2 linked regions of the Schizosaccharomyces pombe genome follow. Changing the gene in region 2 together with the main gene of any one other region gives a genetic interaction. Each region holds a gene or a part of one and is shown on either strand. Other genes may lie near its edges.

Region 1 (10,015 bases), on a different chromosome or scaffold from region 2:
GGTATTAATGACGGGATTAGTCGATCAACAGGAACTCGAAAAACGCTTGGCTACTGAGGAAGATAGCCAAAATGAGGATATCGAAAATCAGCTTCCATCCATTGAGACCATAATCAACACATATAGAGAGAAAGAGAATCGAAGAGGTTTGTAATGAATTAGTGCTAGCCTTCACGTTTCATTTTTCAATTGTTTAACCATTATTTTTAGTTAATTTACGATTTAAAGCAATTGGAAGAACACCCTTACTTCGAAAGACTGTTTTTTCAATCAATGCTAGTCAAAGATTCGAAAAAGTGACTCGGTTTTTAAAGAAAGAGCTTGGACTACCGATGAACTCTTCCTTGGTAAGTTTGTCCGCTTATACAAACTCAAAACTTTCTCTAACTTATAATCCATAGGTACTGTACGTTAATTCATCGTTTGCTCCTTCTCCTGATGAAATTGTGGGTAATCTATACGATAACTTTGCTATAGACAGTCATCTACTTATTAATTATTGTATCAACGTTGCTTTCGGTTAAGCTGCATTCTTCAAATTCTGTTCATTTATTATTGTCGAAAATCATATTTTCTGTGTTTAGTTTTAGATCTTTTGGTTACTGGTTATGAATGTGAAATTTCTTCTGTAATGTGTTTTAAAACCAAAATCGAGTCTATTCATTAATTTTCTAAATCGTGTAACTTTTTAAAAGTAAAGAATTACCCTGATTAAAATATATATATATAAAGTTAAGAAAATGTGTAAGCCAAAATTGTTTATTGAATTTTGTTACACTTGTAGTAACAAGGCAGCGTCAGCCTTAGACAGTAAAAAATCATCTTTTAACTCCTTATGCCTCGTTTTTTACTAAGGGACTTATGTCAGAAACGGTAGTATTTTCTTCGGTTTCTAAAGAGAGGTCTTCGGTATTAGGTTCGTTTACTGATTCCCCATTTTCCGATTTAACATGATCAACTTCTTCCTTCGCCTTTTCGTTAGACATGTTATCAAGCTCAGCGTCCAAAGCAGCCACCGCTGTCAATGTATCCATCGCGGAATGTGTCTTCATTGAGTTCCTAGTTGTTCTCTTATTAGAAGCTGCTTTACCACTATTTGATCTTAATGCACGCTTAGGAGGTTCAGCTTGTCTGGGTTCTTCTTCCACTTCATCTTCTCCCACTGTTCCTTCAGGAGAGGTTTCATCGCCTCGATTAGTTTCTTCTTCCTTCTTTTTCTTCGTACGACTACTTTTCTTTGTATTGCTAATAGAACCATCCAAGGTGGTTTGCCGAGTTGATGATTTAGTTGGCGCTTTACGATTATATTTGCGTTTTGTTGGTTGATCAGTCTTAACGACAAACAAATCAGGATGTTCACGAACAACACTAAGAAGATACTCTCCTCTACGTACAAGATGAACAGCACTAGGAACATAGCGTGACTCTTTGTCATTTTTAGCTTCGTCCAAAAATATTTTATCGTGTAAGCCTAAGTCCGGGTCATTTTTTATTGCTTGCCAACAACCAAACCCGTGTTTATTAATACCAGCTAAAAGCATAGAATCTTCTTTAATACCCCATGAACAATTCCAACTATGAACGCTTCGAATAGGATATCCAATTATCTGTTTCAAAGGATCAAGGCCTTTGTAAGCACGATGCAGGTGAGTTAAGTCTTTAACACGTAGCGTAACAGTTTCAGCATTAATATTTTTAACCCCTTTGAACTCAATCAAAATGGCTTTTCTAGGTTGCTTATTCTTAGTGTCATCTGCTCCCAAGCGTTCCACAGCCTCATCACAAGCCTTAACCATATCGGCGGATAAAGAATAAATACGTTTCGGGTCAGTAGCCTGTAACTCGGCTTCCTTGACTATTGTGTCAAACCGTTCATCCACTAACCCAAATTTGATCATGGCACGATAAAGAAGTCGAATCTCTTTTTCACGAACCATTTCCTCACGTCTTTGTTGACGCTTAGTGATGGACTTAGTGGTTCTTTTGTATGTTCTAGAAGGATGATCCTCATCATTCTCACGTTCTTCTTCTTCTCTTCGTTCGCGTTCTTCTTCCTTTGCTCGTTGAGCGGCAAGCATGCGTTCTTCCTCTTCGATGCGTTCCATTTCTTCTTCAGGAATAATGTCATCCCAATTTAGGTCTTCAGCCTTATAATCAGTAACCTCAAATTGTTTCAAAAATTCTTCACCACCCATACTTGCTCCACCCACGTCGTTAGAAGAATCACGATCTTCAGCGTGACTAAGTATATCATCCAAATTCATGTTTTCGAGCTTTTTCTGATTTTCAGTTGCCTTGAACATATTAGAAGCACCAAATTTTAAAATGGCACTCAGCTCTTGGGCATCATACTTATCGTTTTTGGAATTTTTTGATTTTTCAGTAACACCCAAAGAGATGATCGCATATTCTAAAATCATTTTTCTTCTTGCACGCTCTAATATATCCTCCTCGACTGTGTCTTTTGATAAAAAGCGGTAAACATTGACATGATTTTTTTGACCAATTCTATGCGCTCTTGCCATAGCTTGTAAATCTGCTTGGGGATTCCAATCAGAATCAAAAATAATAACAGTATCTGCAGTATTTAGGTTAATGCCTAGTCCCCCTGCACGGGTACTAAGTAAAAACACAAAATCAGGGCTATCTGGTGCATTGAAATGATCAATTGAAACTCTGCGTACAGAAGCTGGGATGGTACCGTCCAATCTTTGATAATTATATCCGCGCAAGGACATGTACTCTCCAAGAATATTCAACATACGAACCATTTGACTGAAAATTAATACGCGATGTCCATCATGTTTCAAACGCTGCAGCAGTTTATCAAGAAGTACCATTTTACCACTATTCATGATAATACCTCTCAGCGTATCTTCTCGAGTCATCTTTCTACCCATCATCCATTTTTCCGCTGCGCCAGGAAACAGATAGGGATGATTTGATACTTTTTTCAACTCTACAACTATATTGAGTAAGGATAGCTGACCTCGGCCATCGGTATGACCTGTCAAGGCGCGGTAATTTTTAGTTAAAATGTTCTTGTACCATTCAGTTTGCATATCAGATAGTTCGACTCGAAGAATACGCTCAGATTTGGACGGTAAAGATTTCTCTACATCTTTTTTTAAGCGACGGAGAATGAAGGGTTGTAATCTTTCTTGTAGATCTCGGATGTCGCGCTCTTGTTCAGCATTTGGTTGATCAAAATTTAATTCATCTCTAATGTAAAATTTTCCAGGCATCAAAAAATTAACCAAGGATGCCAGCTCCTTGAGATTGTTTTGAAGAGGAGTGCCTGTTATTAATAATCTATTGGCAGTCCGAAATTGAGATAAGGTCTCGTATAAAGATGATTCACTGTTTTTGAGTCGATGAGCTTCATCGATAGCAAGATATTGCCAGCGAATATTGTTGAGTTCTTGCTTATCTTTCAATATATACTCATAGGTCGTAAGTAGAATGTTAAATTTAAGCTTGCGAGAATTCGTAGAAAGGTAGAATTCATACTCTCTAATATTAGCACGAGATTCCGTATTACCTGTATAGCAAATACTATTCAAATCAGGTGTCCAATTGGCCAATGTTTCTTGCCAAGCCGGAACAGTGGAAAGCGGTACGACAATAAGGAAAGGACCGTGTTGTTTTAAAGAATGGACTAAATAAGATAAAAAGCACACAGTTTGCACGGTTTTACCCAAACCCATTTCATCTGCTAAAATACCATTTTCATTCCGGTGCCATAAATATGCCATCCAGTTTATACCAGTAAGTTGAAAATCACGGATTTCCCCCCCTTTAATGTAAGATGGTTGCTTTTCTAACTTGCGGTACGGGGGACGGGTGTTATAGAAAACACCTTTATAAGGGAGATACGGACTGTTTTCACGTTGCAAGAATTGATAAACTTCATTTGGTGCCATAGAATAAATTACGTCGGCATCTTCCCATGTGCAATTATCATAAGGAAGCTGCCTCCACTTTACAAAGTATTCTGTTTTTCCTTCTTCGTTAGTTTCAGAAGCTACTATGCGTTCGACAATTTTATACTCTTCAAAAAGCATATTTTTACGTTCGCGTTCAATATCCAGAGCTTCGATATCTTCAAAGGTTGTAGTTGGATCTTCACGAATCTCGCGATCATAAATGATGTTTTGCTTTATATAATTGTCGACTTTTTTGTAGCCCCTCACAGAAGAAAGCGTAGAATAATCTTCCCAAGTATTATGAAGATGGGAAACTTCCTGCCATTTAATTAAATACTGATAGCTAGACTTCGGGTCATCGTCTTGTGCATCCGCTCGCTTTCGGTGATTTAAAACGAAATCAATAATAGGCTCATATTCCTCTTCGACCTGTTCTTCTACTTCCTCTTCTTCGTCCTCGAAGTCGTCGTAAAATTCTTGTTCATTGTAGTTGACGCTTTTACCTTTTGAAGATCGCAATGAAGTACGGATTTCGGTTCCGGAAGCAGAGTTAATACTGAATCTATGTCTCTTATCATATGCGTCTTCATCATCGCTAGCCACAGACTTTTTTTGCTTTGGTGCAGGTTTGCTCTTTCGTTTTTTAGGAATCGGAATTTCATGCTCGTCAATTTCAGTATAAGAGAAATCACGATAAACGGGTCGTTTAGCCCTTGAAGAACGTCTTGTACCATCTACTCTAACATCGTCAGAGTTTTGCGCATCGTCAATTTTAGGGGTAGACAAAGCAGAAGATACAACTGTGCTATTAGCAGTGCTGGTTACGATTTCAGAATCATCAAAGGCAGAAGACGATAAAGATTGCTGCGAAGCGAAAGAATTTTCATGATTTAACAGGCCATTCATGCTAGGTAGAGAATTTGTTGTATTTCCAAACTGAGGATCAGTTACTGCAGAGCCATTTAAAGTAGACTCTTGAACGCTCGTAGGATGATTTTTTAAATCATAATTCGAATGTTCAGGCTCCATTCTTGTTACTCCAGAAAATTTATATAATGTTAAATGTTGAGAACGTCCACAAAGTAGGCGCTCCTTTGCAGACTCTCTTTTAAAAGCTTAAAATGCTTTTTTTTAAATATATATCTGGATATTAACAGTGAAGCAACAAAGGATTAATAGGAATAAGCAGTATGCCTATAAGGCTATTAATTGAAATTACTATGTTGTTGGCAGAAATTAATAGTGCAAAAATATGCAACACTATAAATGAAATGCCAGGCAATGCAGGTGATTTTGGTATCAAATTACTTCTCCAGAGTCCCTTTTTATTAATAAAATTTACCTTTTGAGAAGGATTCACTATTTTTACTCATGCAATTTCCACTCTCAATTTTTGCGAAAATGCAAGACCTTTACAAACAAAAAAATCCTTTGCCATAAAATGTACGAGCTATTCTCATTCACTCCATGGAAATTAAGTTAGCTTACAATTTTCATTTCCGGTTCGTATTTCCGAGCAAGTCTGCAGATTTTATTTCATTTTCAAATTAACTGTGCAAAACGTGAAGGCAAATTCGTATTTCATAAAATGCTTCAGTTCGCATGCTTTTATTAAATTTAAAGATCATTAATTTCAAAAAATTTCTATATATTTTATTGTTTACTATCCCATAACGTTAAATAGTTTACACAAAAACGTCGAAACTTTTCACATAAACGTATGCTTCTTTGTTTCAATTGTTCATGAAAACATAATGTATTTATTTACTTCTTTAATTACAATTGAGAGGGGAATCGAGACAGAGAAAACAATAGTTTCTGAAAGAAATAAACTAATTAAAAATTTGACCGATTGGTTTTACTAAATTTTTTTAACTGCATGGATATTTTACCAAAGATTCAAAGATATATTTATTGGTTTTGTTATTTTTTTGAGAATTTTATGAAAGACTTCACCTTCCAACTTTTTCAATTAAATGTCAAGGAAAAATACTGTACTTAAAACTCTTGAAAGTTTTCCCAATATTTAAGAAAATGGAACTTCAATTGTTTTTTTAAATTTTTGCAATCCCTTTTTGTTTTAATATTTTTATTACCAGTTTCTGTATATATTTATTTATTTCATTTGACTATTTAGACAATTTATATATTGATAGAAGGAGAAATCTCAGAAGGATTATTGAAGACTTAATTTTATTCTTTTTATTAATGTCAGCATGAAAGCTGATTTTCTAGTCTGAACATTTTATTAAATGGGTAAAAACAAAAAAATCAGTACTCTAAATAAACATTGGTTCAACGGCATTTTTAAAAGTGAATAGAGAAAAAAATTGCGATTACTGTTATACAAAGACATGGCGAAATTGAGTCTTTCAAGCGATATAATTGTCCTTCAACGGCCTTTCGAAACGTACGTAGACACAACCGCCTAACCGTCAATCACAACTTAATTCCTCAACCATTCCATTTTAGGAAGAAGTCGAAGAGTTCAATGATTTTAATATATTTTAATTAATGCACTCAACTTTTTGGATTTAAAAAATTCCAAATTTACGTAGCTTAGTATGAAAGTGGAGGAGCACGTCCCTCTAATACAGGAGTCGAGGAAGAGAAAATGCCAATCTTCTGAAAATGCTTCGAAAAGGCAGCAATTACTTTCCAAGCTTCCACTTAGACTTCATACAGGCAATGAAAATGTCGATTTATCTCCTTTAGTTTCTGCCATTCGCAAGGCAAAGCGCATAGTCGTTGTTACTGGTATGTTGCTTATTTATGGTTTTCCTTCTTTTATTTTAACTTTTCACTTAAAAAAAAAGTGGGATTAAAAAAAAAATTAAATATTATAATCGTACAAAGGCTCATTTACTAATACGTTTAAACAGGTGCTGGAATTTCTTGTGATGCTGGAATTCCTGATTTCCGTTCCTCTGAGGGTCTTTTCTCCTCCCTTCGTGCGGAGTATAAATTGAACTGCTCCGGGAAGGAATTGTTTGATGGATCTGTTTACAGAGATCTTAAGAGTGTTAACATCTTTCACGCAATGATTAGAAAGCTACATATGCTTTCTAATAATGCACGCCCCACTGATTTCCATTTATTTTTATCTCAACTAGCCCAAGAATCTAAGCTGTTACGTTTATACACACAAAATATTGATTTTTTAGAAACCAGACTCGAGGGCCTTCAAACATGTATTCCATTGCCGCAGTCTGCCCCTTGGCCTACCACGATTCCTCTTCACGGGACACTGGAAGTTGTAAGTTGCACAAGGTGCAGCTTTTTGAAAAAATTTAATCCAGATATATTTGATAGAAATGGTGTTACTGTTTGCCCTGACTGTAAAACCGAGAACGAGGTTCGTCGTATAGCAGGAAAAAGATCAGTTATCGAGGGTTGCCTTCGTCCTCGGATTGTTTTGTACAATGAGATACATCCGGATTCCGAATCTATTGGTTCGGTCTGTTCACAAGATTTAAAGTCCCGCCCTGACTGTCTAATTGTTGCTGGTACTTCTTGTAAAATCCCTGGTGTCAAAAGAATTATCAAGGAAATGAGCAACTGTGTGCATAAACAGAAGGGAAATGTTATTTGGTTGAATTATGACGAACCTACGAAAGATTTTTTGAACTTATGCGACCTGGTTGTACAAGGAGACCTTCAAATTGCTATTAGACGTCTGAAGCCTTTATTAGATGCTCCAAGTTGGAAACTCAAGTCCCATTCTGCCAAAAGAACTTCAAAACAAAAATCTTCCGAACAAACAAAGATTACTTCTTCCACTAAAATTACGAAAGCTATTGGCTTGAACACGAAAAGCAATGATAGTTCTAAGAAAGATAACACTTCTTTTCAGTTGCACCAAGTGCTCAATAGTATTGAAATACCCAAGGTGGAAATTAAACAAGAAGTTGAATATGCAACCCCTTCTCCGCTTTAACATTTAGCTTCAATAAACCATGTTAAAAATATCAATTTATCCTTCTTACCCCAAATGAGGTTTAAATAATGCCTGTAATAATAGTAGTGAACCTTCTCTGAATCCGAAAAGCGATACAAATTCCGAAAAACGTTTGTCTAATTGATTAAGCAACTTTGATGTGATGCTTACAATTTTTTCATTTTGATTCTTTAGTATATAAGAGATGCAGTAATTAGGTTGTACAAAACCAAGATCATCAAATTTTATCTCATAAAGTATTGTAATTTTGTAAAAGGAATTTTGAACATAGAAACATTGAGCGTCCATGTTTGCTGATGCCACTTTTTTCATATGCTTTGATAAATAAAACCACGTATTGCAGCGATATGAGTAATGGTGGGCAAATAATGAGAACGCTCTCAAAAGAGCTACTATATCGAGACATTGTATTGCAGAGTCCGAAAAACTACTGAGCTCTTTTCTAGCAAAATGCGGGATTTTATAAGTAATAAATAAAAGAGCATAATCGATTGTTCGGACCTTAATTTCTAGTAAAAATTTGAAGCTTGGGAGATATTCTATATCTCCTTTAAGAGAATGATGAATGATTTTCTCGGATTCCGCTTCAAATTCATGTTGTGTGAAACGAATGGATGATATGGACGAATTCAATTTAACATGTTTTTTGGGTTCAGCAGATGGCATAACTTGCTTTGTTTTAGGATTATCAGGGTTTTCGGTATTATAAATTACTACAGAGGAATCAATCTCTAATAATGATTTTATAAATCCGCTTAAAAACGAATCGTCGCGTTGGTTAATTGCATTTCGTCTAACCCTCACCTCTTTCTCAAGAAGCAGGGTTTGATGTACAAGGTTACTCCTTTTGCGCAAAAGATCCATTTTTCTGTCAGTGTCTACTCTTCCGTTGCTAGATTTGGATTGTCCACTGTTTTCATTAGGCCTCGCTCGTGAATCTACGCGAGGCATGCCATTTAAAGTAGTATTTGGGCTTCGGTGAGCAACAGTACGTTTTGTCTTTTTTTGTTGCGAATCACTATCATCACTACTGCTAGATCCTTCTTGTTGAGAAATTTGACTATATCGCCTACCGGACATTTTGATATTTATAGTCGTACGCGATAATAGTATCAGTATTACTACAATTAACAATGCTCGTGCAAAAGTGTTTTAATACTTTTTATGCAACATTAATGAAAAATCCAAAATCCTCAAATGGTGGAACAAATGCATATAGTATATAGTCATGGTCAAAGCAACACTTAAACCTAGAAGTGAATCTTAGTAGCTACCACTTTGAAATCACTACTTCATTTTTACGACTGAAATCCATATTACTCTACTAAAAATAATATTTGTAATATTTTATCATTTTCATTGTGAAATGGAGAAATTTACTCGCTGGAGAGGTAAGAATATGCAATACTTTAAATGCTTGATTGTTCACATAAATGTTGTTTAAATAGAACGCAAAAAAAAATAAAAGCAAAAAATAGAAGCCAATTATTTTGTATTATGATTCTTGACTTTAAGATCGAGTGTTTGTCAATTTCTCTTAACAAAATGACTTTAATGCAGATTCATTAACCCTTTTAGATCCGGGAACGGGCATAGCTCCATTCCATCCTATAAATACAGAAACTCCTAGTGGATTTAATTTTAAATGGATCCTTATAGTTGTTGTTATGATATTGCGAGTTCCTCTTTGCATCATTTCTGTAACATTATGGTTTCTCTGGTCTTGTTTTTTGAAACCTATACTATCTATACAGCCGAAACTTAGTTTTTTTATTGATTCGAGTCTCTCCCGTTTACTCCTTTTATGTTTTGGATGTCTTAAATTATCAAAGTCAACTTCAGGGTATGCCCATTAAGTCCCTCGTGCATCTTACATTTTTTATTTTTCAGAAACTAATCATGAGTAGAAGTTTCGTTCAGGGTGATAGCCTTCAACCGGGTGATATCTTGGCAGTGAATCATTCAAGCCCTTTGGATGTACTTGTGTTGTCTTGTTTATATAACTGTACTTTTGCTGTGTGTGACTCAAAAACTTCGAATGTCTCAATTATTAGTGCTCAGGCTTATTTTTGGTCGTGTTTCTTTAGCCCTTCGAAACTAAAGATTACTGATGCTAAACCTCTTGCTAAAG
Region 2 (8,639 bases):
TTGAGGCCATAAATATTAACAATGAAGGCCTTGTCACTGAAATTAAGACGTTACAAGATAAGATCATGGAAATAGGTGGGATTCGATATCGTATACAAAAATCAAAGGTCGACGATTTGCATGAGCAACTCAAATTTGTTAAAGACAAGCTTAACAAAATGAGTTTCAAGAAGAAGAAGAATGAGCAACGCAGTCAATCTTTCCAAGTTGAACTATCAAACCTTACTAGCGAGTACGATACAACTACTGAAAGTATAGCCACTTTAAAGACTGAACTACAATCGTTAAACAAGTATGTGGATGAACACAAATCTCGGCTCCGCGAATTTGAAAATGCTCTATGGGACATCAATTCCTCTATCGACGAACTAGTAAAATTTATTGAATTTGAATCTAAGCAAATGAATTCCGTTAAAGCAGAAAGGATTGAATTGGAAAATCAAATTCAAGAGCAGCGTACGGCATTATCAGAGGTCGGCAATAATGAAAATAAATATTTAAAGCTCATGTCAAATCTGAAGTTACACAATTTGACTGAATTTTGTGACCAGACAACAATGGACTCAACTTTTCCCGAATATTCTGAAGATGAACTGAGTTCAGTTGATAAAAGCGAGCTGGTCTCTAATATTTCAGTCTTGAAAAAGAAAACTGAAGACAGAGAAGTAGATATCAATGTTTTGTCTGAATATCGTAGATGTAACAAGGAAGCAGAAAAGCGTGATTCTGATTACCAAAGTGAATTGCAAAAAAGAACCGATTTGAAAAAAGTCGTTACAGATCTTCAATCTCAGAGGCTCGATGAGTTTATGTACGGATTTGGAATTATATCTATGAAGCTTAAAGAAATGTATCAAATTATTACTATGGGCGGAAACGCAGAGCTTGAGTTAGTGGATAGTTTGGATCCGTTTTCTGAGGGGGTATTGTTTAGTGTGATGCCTCCCAAAAAATCTTGGAAGAACATATCTAACCTTTCGGGAGGAGAGAAGACGTTAAGTTCTCTAGCCCTTGTCTTTGCTCTACATAATTACAAACCGACTCCTTTATACGTTATGGACGAAATCGATGCTGCATTAGACTTTAAAAACGTTTCGATTGTTGCGAATTACATTAAGGAAAGAACTAAAAACGCGCAGTTTATTGTTATTTCTTTAAGAAGTAATATGTTTGAGTTATCTTCTCGTTTGGTTGGCATTTATAAAACGGCGAATATGACTAAGAGTGTCACAATCAACAACAAGGAAATACTTACAGATTAACTGCACATTCAAATAAAAACGTAGAAAATTGGAAACTAGATATTTAATAATTTACGAATTTTTGGCTACTGAATGTCAGTGTTTCATAATTCACAGTGTGCATACTAATAAATCTATGTTATGAGAAGATTAAACTAATTTAGTTTTGTGGCACCCAGTTTATGTTAATGTTTCAGAAATCTGTTTATGAACGTAATAGGACTACAAATATATAAAATTAATCTTCACTCGCTTTTAAAGCCTGTAAAATCTGCGCAAAGGAATTGTATATAATTAAATATGTTGTTTACATCATCAATTTCAGAAGGTATCTACAATTTGTAGTTACATAGTATAATATTTTAGTGGGTAATGCTTTTAAAGATTTATTGCAATCGTATGCATACCATATAGAACGTATCCAATTTTAAGTAATTTAATTTTATGGTAGTAAATTAAGAATAATTAGAAACAAACAATAAATTAGATTAAACAATATGAGTCGTAAACTTAAATAGGAAATCTCAATGCACACGACGAGATAAATGAAAGACCAATTAACAAGAAAAATGCAAATGATAAAAGCTTTCCAGCTAATAAGAGATAGGAGGACTAAGGAAGAAAGTAATGAAGGAAATAAATGAATGTTAATTACCACATGGCTAGCACCATGTAGCCTAACATGGAGCATCTGAGTAACACTTATTTTATAGCCAGTCGCACTGATGGTGTTCCCACCCATTAAACTCAGTCAAACCCAGGTGCTGAATTTTCCTCTTCGATTTCGATCGGTTTCTTTTAAAGGACAAGCTTGATTCGCCTTTCACAGCAGATTTAAGACGAGAATACGCATCAGAAACTCGGGAAGTAACATTTCTTTTAGAAGGTGTTCTGTCTATTAGTCCCTTGCGAGAGGAAACTTCTTCAATATCGAAAAACTCTATATCATTTGCAGAATTTTTTAAAGTGCTTTTACTACTCCTTCTATTGGCTCGTTTTTGAGCAACAAGCTTCTGAATTGCGGCGCATTCTAATCTGTATTGCGAATTGCTAAGTTCCTCACCAAGTGCACCTCTTGCAAGCCGTGCAGGGGAGGATGGTGAGGCATAACGACTATGGTTTGAAGAAAGACCAAAACCCTGCTTTCCAACGCTGTTTAGCTGTTTCGAAACCGAATATTTATGAAATCTTAACTTTAATGGAGAGATTGGTGAAAGTAAAGGACTTGAATCACCAATGGAGTTCGATGCCGCTTCCAACAGCCATGGCGAATGCTGCGAAATGTTTTTGTCCCAAGGTGATACTGGCGACTTTAACTCTTTATATATGGCATTGATCAGTTCGTCAGATATATGATGTGATAGCTTCAGTGAATTAGAGGTGCTATCTCCAGAACTTGACCTTGTTCTATCGCTTTGATCATCACTGCCATCAATGAAACAGCTGGTTTTTATATTATGGAGTTGCAAGGTTGCTGGTTTTTTCCTTATACCATTCATTGTAAGTTTAAAAGCAATTAATCTGCTTGATAAAAAAATTAATTGACTATTTTGTACTTAATAATGAAGCTAGGAGATCTCTGTATTCAATTATTGTTAAATCCTACGATTCTTATTTCAATGAATCAAGAAATAATATATCGTTAGTAAGATAACTTTTATTTACAGTAGGCCACGAGTTAGCGTGTTATATACAAGACTGAGATCACAAGGTTTCTTTGTTCATGGAAGACAAAGAAAGCTTTTATTGACTTCAATAATACGTAAATTTTAATTAATTATTAAGCTCAATAAATTATCGGGAGTTTTGAAATATTAATTTGTTTTCTCATGTTAGATGGTAATTCGAGATAGCTATTTGGCGGTTAGGTTAAACCAAAGCTCTTGAACCAAAGCAAAAACATAAACTGATAGCTACTTTTAGAATATTTGAGATAGTAAACATTAAAAACTATACAAATATTCATTTAAGAGATTACAAATTAATTTTCAACACCAACCGGTGCACTAATAATAAATTAACTAAAATCAACTTAAACGTATGAATAAATAAAATTTGTAACGGTCCTCATTATACCGACATTTTCATGTTCACAATGAGTCTCATAGACAGGTCATTAATCGGGAAAAAGCCATACTTTCTGGCATTGTGCCTAATAAAGGTACAACCGGATCTTCAAAATATTAAATTCAGGTTCTATTTTTATCATTGTATATAAACACAAGGACTATACAAACCTTTTCCCAATCACAATTTTCAACATAACAGATGCTTTCAAAAAATGGAGAAACGTTGAATAAACAGAGAAACAATATATGTCTATGGTATTCATAAGATATTGTAGAAGGACAAATATGTCCAATTTGCTTTTTGAGACGACGTGCAATAAATAAATAAAAAACAATTGCGAACCATCGTATCACAAAATTTTAAATCACAACTTGCCATATGTTTGTAGATGTTGGAAATGCGATGTTGTCTTCATCTTCGTTACCCACTTGAAGCTGCTTTAGCAAAACTTTCTTTTCATGAAGCATTTCATTCCATGGATCTTTATCGTCGATCGCTGGATCTAGAAAACATGATTCATCAAAATTAATTTGAGTAAGCTTATTTTGCATTTTAGTCTTATCTTTATCTGCATCCAAAGCAAGATTCATGGTATCTGGTTCCTTTAAAAATCCGATTTCAGAGTTGATTTCATTACCTAAATCAGCCCAAAGCTCCGAATCATCATTAAATGAAAATTTTCCGTCCAATGACAAAATATTAGATGGACTAAGTGAGTTTTTGTTATCTGTAAATGATAAATCTGGAGTTGACGGAGGAATGAAAAACGACTGAGGTGTTTTCAAAATAGAACTAGGAGTCTGTGATGATTTGATAGCAGAAACTTCTTCTTCATGGTCTACAGCCACAAATGCATCGATTGCGTACTTCAAAGGATTAGCAATTGCTTCTTCCCGAGCTTTAGCCATTCCTTCCTCTTTGGCTATAGTACCTGGAGAAACACTAGAAGGTATTTCATCTACACTTGACATTATAACATCAGGAGTATTTACGACTGAATCCTTAGGTTTTTGAACTGTCGATAAGTTTTCTATCTTTTTCTTCTTAGAAGGCGGTAACTTGAGATCTTCTGGTTTTAAACCATGTTTCATGACTTGTGATGCAATCTTCTGTTTGGCTTGCAAATCCGGCTGAGATACATCCAAGGATTGGAATGCAAGTTTACTGTCAACAGGAAAAGATGTGTTACCAACAGAATTTGCTTTGGCTGCAGGTTGGGCTTGCCCAGGAACACTGGGTTGCGCATTAGGAATTGATCCATTGATAGGACGTACATTGGATGATACAGAAGGAGCTTGAGGAAACTGGGAAGCCTGTTGTTGCTGCTGTGACTGTGGCTGTGGCTGCTGCTGTTGATTAATAGATGCAGTACGGAGCGAGGAGATATGGGCAAGAGCATTTTGAATACTCATATTATTGTTATTTACTTCATGGTGAAGTCTTAACAGTTGAGCTTTCACAAAGGCAAAATAGCGACTGGTTTTCTCCTTAATCTTGGCCAATGTTTGCGGAGCACAAGTAAAAACACCTTGCTGAAGACCTTCAAGTTGTAATTTAAATATATGACGCATTTGTATCAATTGAATCGTGGCTTCCTCATTGCCTGTCAAACAGTAAAACAGGCAAATCAGTTGATTTGTACGGCTAAACATAGGATATGCAGATTTGATAAGACTCGCAATCATAACCTTTTGATCATGAGGCAAATCAAGAGGCACTGGCCGCATCAAACTATGCATTACTCTTTCGGTGAGTTCTCGAATACGCGAAGTCATCTTTTGTTGTCCCATAGTTCCTCCACACTCAAGCAGTTGCTGAACGATAGAAGCACTACTATTTCCAGCCGCTAAGTTTGTAGGCCTTGAAGCAGCGGTGTTTCTTGCACCACTAAGAGGAACTGAAAGTGCTTCATTCCCCGCCTTCGTAAAAGCTGAAGGAGGACTTGCAGAACTTCTAAATGTAGACGATGTATCAAGATTAGGAGGTAGATTATTTGAATAGTCGACCTGAGATACAGGCGGCTGAGTGGGTTGAGTAGCGTTGCGAGCCTTATTTGTCAAATAGCTTTGATAATTAGTTTTGGCGGCATTAGCTGAAAGCTTTGTATTGATCGGTTGTTGGCCATTTTGTGAAGTAACAGAAGCACTTGTAGGATTAGAAGTACGGTGCAACTGCTGTTGTTGTTGTTGCTGTTGCTGAGCAAATGCTTGCTGCGAGAACGCTTGGGGGTTGCCCGTATTATCAGGTTGTGGATTCCCCAGTTTATTGGTATTAGGGGCATTTTGCGAGTTCATTCGAGCATTCTGTATTTTATTAAGCTGTTGCTGTCGGTGCTGCAAAATAATTTGTAGGTGCTTTCTATATAGCATACCTATTAGCTTCAATTGTTCCGGAGGTAAACGCTGAGATTGTCCTAATTCTAACACATCTCTCCATATTTTGACATTTGGAGGTAAATTAGGAATTTGATCGAACAATTGCTTAGGAACCGGGATATTTAGCATCTCAATATTTATACGGTTATTATTCGTAGCATTCACATTAGGATTATTTGGAGGAGCAGCAGTTCGCTGAGGTTGCTGTTGCTGAGTAGAAGGTTGGTCTTGTGGAGACATACTTTGAAGAGACTGGGCACCAACGTTACCTTGAGGGTTTGGAAAAAAAGCATTTTGCGGAGCTTGCTTTTGTTGTTGTTGTTGTTGTTGTTGTTGTTGTTGTTGTTGTTGTTGTTGTTGTTGTTGTTGTTGTTGTTGTTGTTGTTGTTGTTGCTGCTGTTGTTGCTGCATATGCTGCAATGAACGAAATTTTTGAATCTGGTTTTGATATATTGAAATAAGTCTCGCAGGTGGCATCGATTGTAATTTTTGCATAGGAATTGGTGGATTGCCATTCCTTGCAAGCAAAGCTGTAATTTGATTACATAAATTATTTAACTGTTGTTGGGTCAATGCAGGAACTATTCGACCAGGAACACTACCAGATCTTTGTTGGTTTGCTTCTGTATTGGGAGCTGTTGGTGATGAAGCTTGCGGTTGTTGTGTTTGTTGAGGTTGTTGCGACTGCTGCTGTTGCTGCTGCCTTTGTTGCTGGATTTGAGATTGTTGAAGTAAAAATTGCCTTTGTTGTGGGGTCAACTTCATATTTCTAGCAAACTGTTGCATTCCTGCTTGCATTGGAACATTTTGGTTTTGAAGTCTCGGCATTACTCTGGGATTATTTGCCAACCTGTTAGGTCCGGCAGTAGGGAGAGCTCCAACATTACCCGCATTGTTATACACAGAAGGCATTTGTTTCATTTGGGTTGCCTGCAATGTGTCACGTATTTGATCTCTCAATTGTGCTGTCTTCTTGCCACATGTAGTTAAGTATTCATTCTATTACTGGTAAGTACAAAATTAATTGAATTTTTTTTTTCAATACCTTGCTACTGGCACCATCAAAAGCCTGACGCTCAAATGACAAAGCCATATTCATGAGTTGGACTTCGGAAATTGAGGGAGAGATAATTCGTAAAGTTTGAGCACTAAATACAAAAGTTAGATGAAGGGTTTTAAAAAATGATGGCATACATTTGCAAGGCAATGCTCTGTCTCTCATTAGGACGAATTTGTGCTTGCCATCCCTTATCAACATTCCGGTTCATCCCTCCAAATATATGATCTATAAGACGTTAGTGAATTATTGTACATTACTAAAAAGCGTACCAGTTATTTCTGATAATTTTGCAAATATATTTATTGCAACGCTGATGGTCGGTGGAAGACGAACTTAAGTTACCGTACACCATATATCAGCGCTGATCGTCACAAGGTAACCAATACAGTGGTTTGCTCACAGCTATCGATGATAAGCTAAATCACGGTCGCTGATACATGAGAACACGTTAAAATTCATTATTTAGTATAAATCTAAGATAGAAATAATCTAAAGCAACAGCATACTTGTTTATCAGAGGCTGGTAGATTATGCCAGTCTTTAACCTTATCCTACTTCAATATTTGTGTACCACAATTTCGTTAATATATATTATATAATAGCTAAATGTAAGTGTAGAGGATATTAAACCACCAAAATAACTTTTCAAGTATAGTTTAAAGGCGTAACGTTTCATTAATAATAAAAACAATAAACTGGACTGAAAATAGATATCAACAGAAACAAATGGTTTTTGCTCTTAGATTACTGGGGAGCGAAAAACTCTCCTTTTCTAAGCGATAGTTGTAAACGTTATTATAATCATCATAATGCTAACTTCCTGGCTCTAAATAAAAGATATAAACTGTTGAATATATATCAAAAATAGTTGAATCCTTGCTTGCCATGAAGAAAACCAAAATTTTTTTCTCATAAATGTTCGATAATGCAGTTATTTACGCACATACCTCAGCCAGCTTTTTTAATTCAGAGGATCCGCGATCCTCCATAGTGCCCAATACGTTTCGAACAGCACTTTGTAACTGTTGTCGATGCGAGGCTGATATATTTTCGTGAGTCAAGAGTTTGCAAATAAAAGACGGACCATAAGTTTGTTCGAAAAGTATTTTCTCTAAAGAGTTTGGATTGAGATCATTTTGCGTATCCAAAATAGCATCAACGACTAAATCACCACAAGCAGTATCACCTTGTGATATGGAAATTATTTTAAGAAGGGAATTATAAGCTAGTCGATGAGTGCAAACTCTAACAATGTCTTGAACAAATCTCCGGGTTAAAAGAATAGGAATATGAGGATAGTTCATATTTTCAACAAGATAAGTTAACAGTAGCGTACCATTACCGTTCATAGCTAAGTGTACGGAATAGACTGTTATAGCAGCAGCAACAAGTACACGTTGTTCTTCAGTCACATCAGGACTCTCTAAACAGGCGCGGACGGCACGTGATCCATAACGGCTTTGAGCAATTACCCAAAACTGGTTGAGAATGGCTTCAAAAACAAAATCGTTCATTGGAGCACCAAATTTCAAGCATGTTTGCACAACATAGTTGCCAAATTGATCAGCAAAAAGTAGTGGAATGTAGGGCTGCAAGTGTTTAGCAATAAGGCGCATTTGTGCCTCAGTTGATGCCACGTCAACAATCTTTTGAGCAGCCCATGTACCGTTTTTGTGAATACCAATTTGGGCCAAATGAGGAGCGATGCGTTCAAGCATCATTTCCTTTACGGGGTCTGAACAATAATCGAATAGCTTTTGTACAACGGTGTTACCAAGATGATCGCTCGATAAGTCTGATACTTCATCAAGCCAATTAATGGCAATGTCTTCAACTTCTTCCTGAGTGCAAAGACCATTATCAATACGCTTACGAACTTGACGAAGTTTGGGT

The links.
Region 1: mutations in med15 (region 2) and hrp1 are lethal when combined (synthetic lethality), as found in Schizosaccharomyces pombe (one study listed by BioGRID).

The regions. Positions count from the first base shown.
Region 1 is NC_003424.3:2,189,957-2,199,971, reverse strand, and holds hrp1 (CENP-A chaperone, CHD family Hrp1), read right to left. Parts: upstream 5,152-10,015; 5' UTR 4,956-5,151; coding exon 834-4,955; 3' UTR 525-833; downstream 1-524. Other genes in the region: autophagy-associated ubiquitin-like modifier Atg12, read left to right, coding at 8-146, 211-347, 402-524; histone deacetylase, Sirtuin family, NAD-dependent Hst4, read left to right, coding at 6,491-6,683, 6,809-7,863; CENP-P family protein Fta2, read right to left, coding at 7,909-8,964; vps66 (acyltransferase), read left to right, coding at 9,251-9,275, 9,463-9,727, 9,792-10,015. UniProt on the Schizosaccharomyces pombe protein: Seems to play a role in mitotic chromosome segregation and maintenance of chromatin structure. Has ATPase activity.
Region 2 is NC_003423.3:995,112-1,003,750, reverse strand, and holds med15 (mediator complex subunit Med15), read right to left. Parts: upstream 7,069-8,639; 5' UTR 6,955-7,068; coding exon 6,881-6,954; exon of another isoform or gene 6,835-6,880; coding exon 6,732-6,834; exon of another isoform or gene 6,686-6,731; coding exon 3,671-6,685; 3' UTR 3,576-3,670; downstream 1-3,575. Other genes in the region: cut3 (condensin complex SMC subunit Smc4), read left to right, coding at 1-1,262; SPOM_SPBC146.02 (uncharacterized protein), read right to left, coding at 1,949-2,740; pumilio family RNA-binding protein Puf2, read right to left, coding at 7,682-8,639.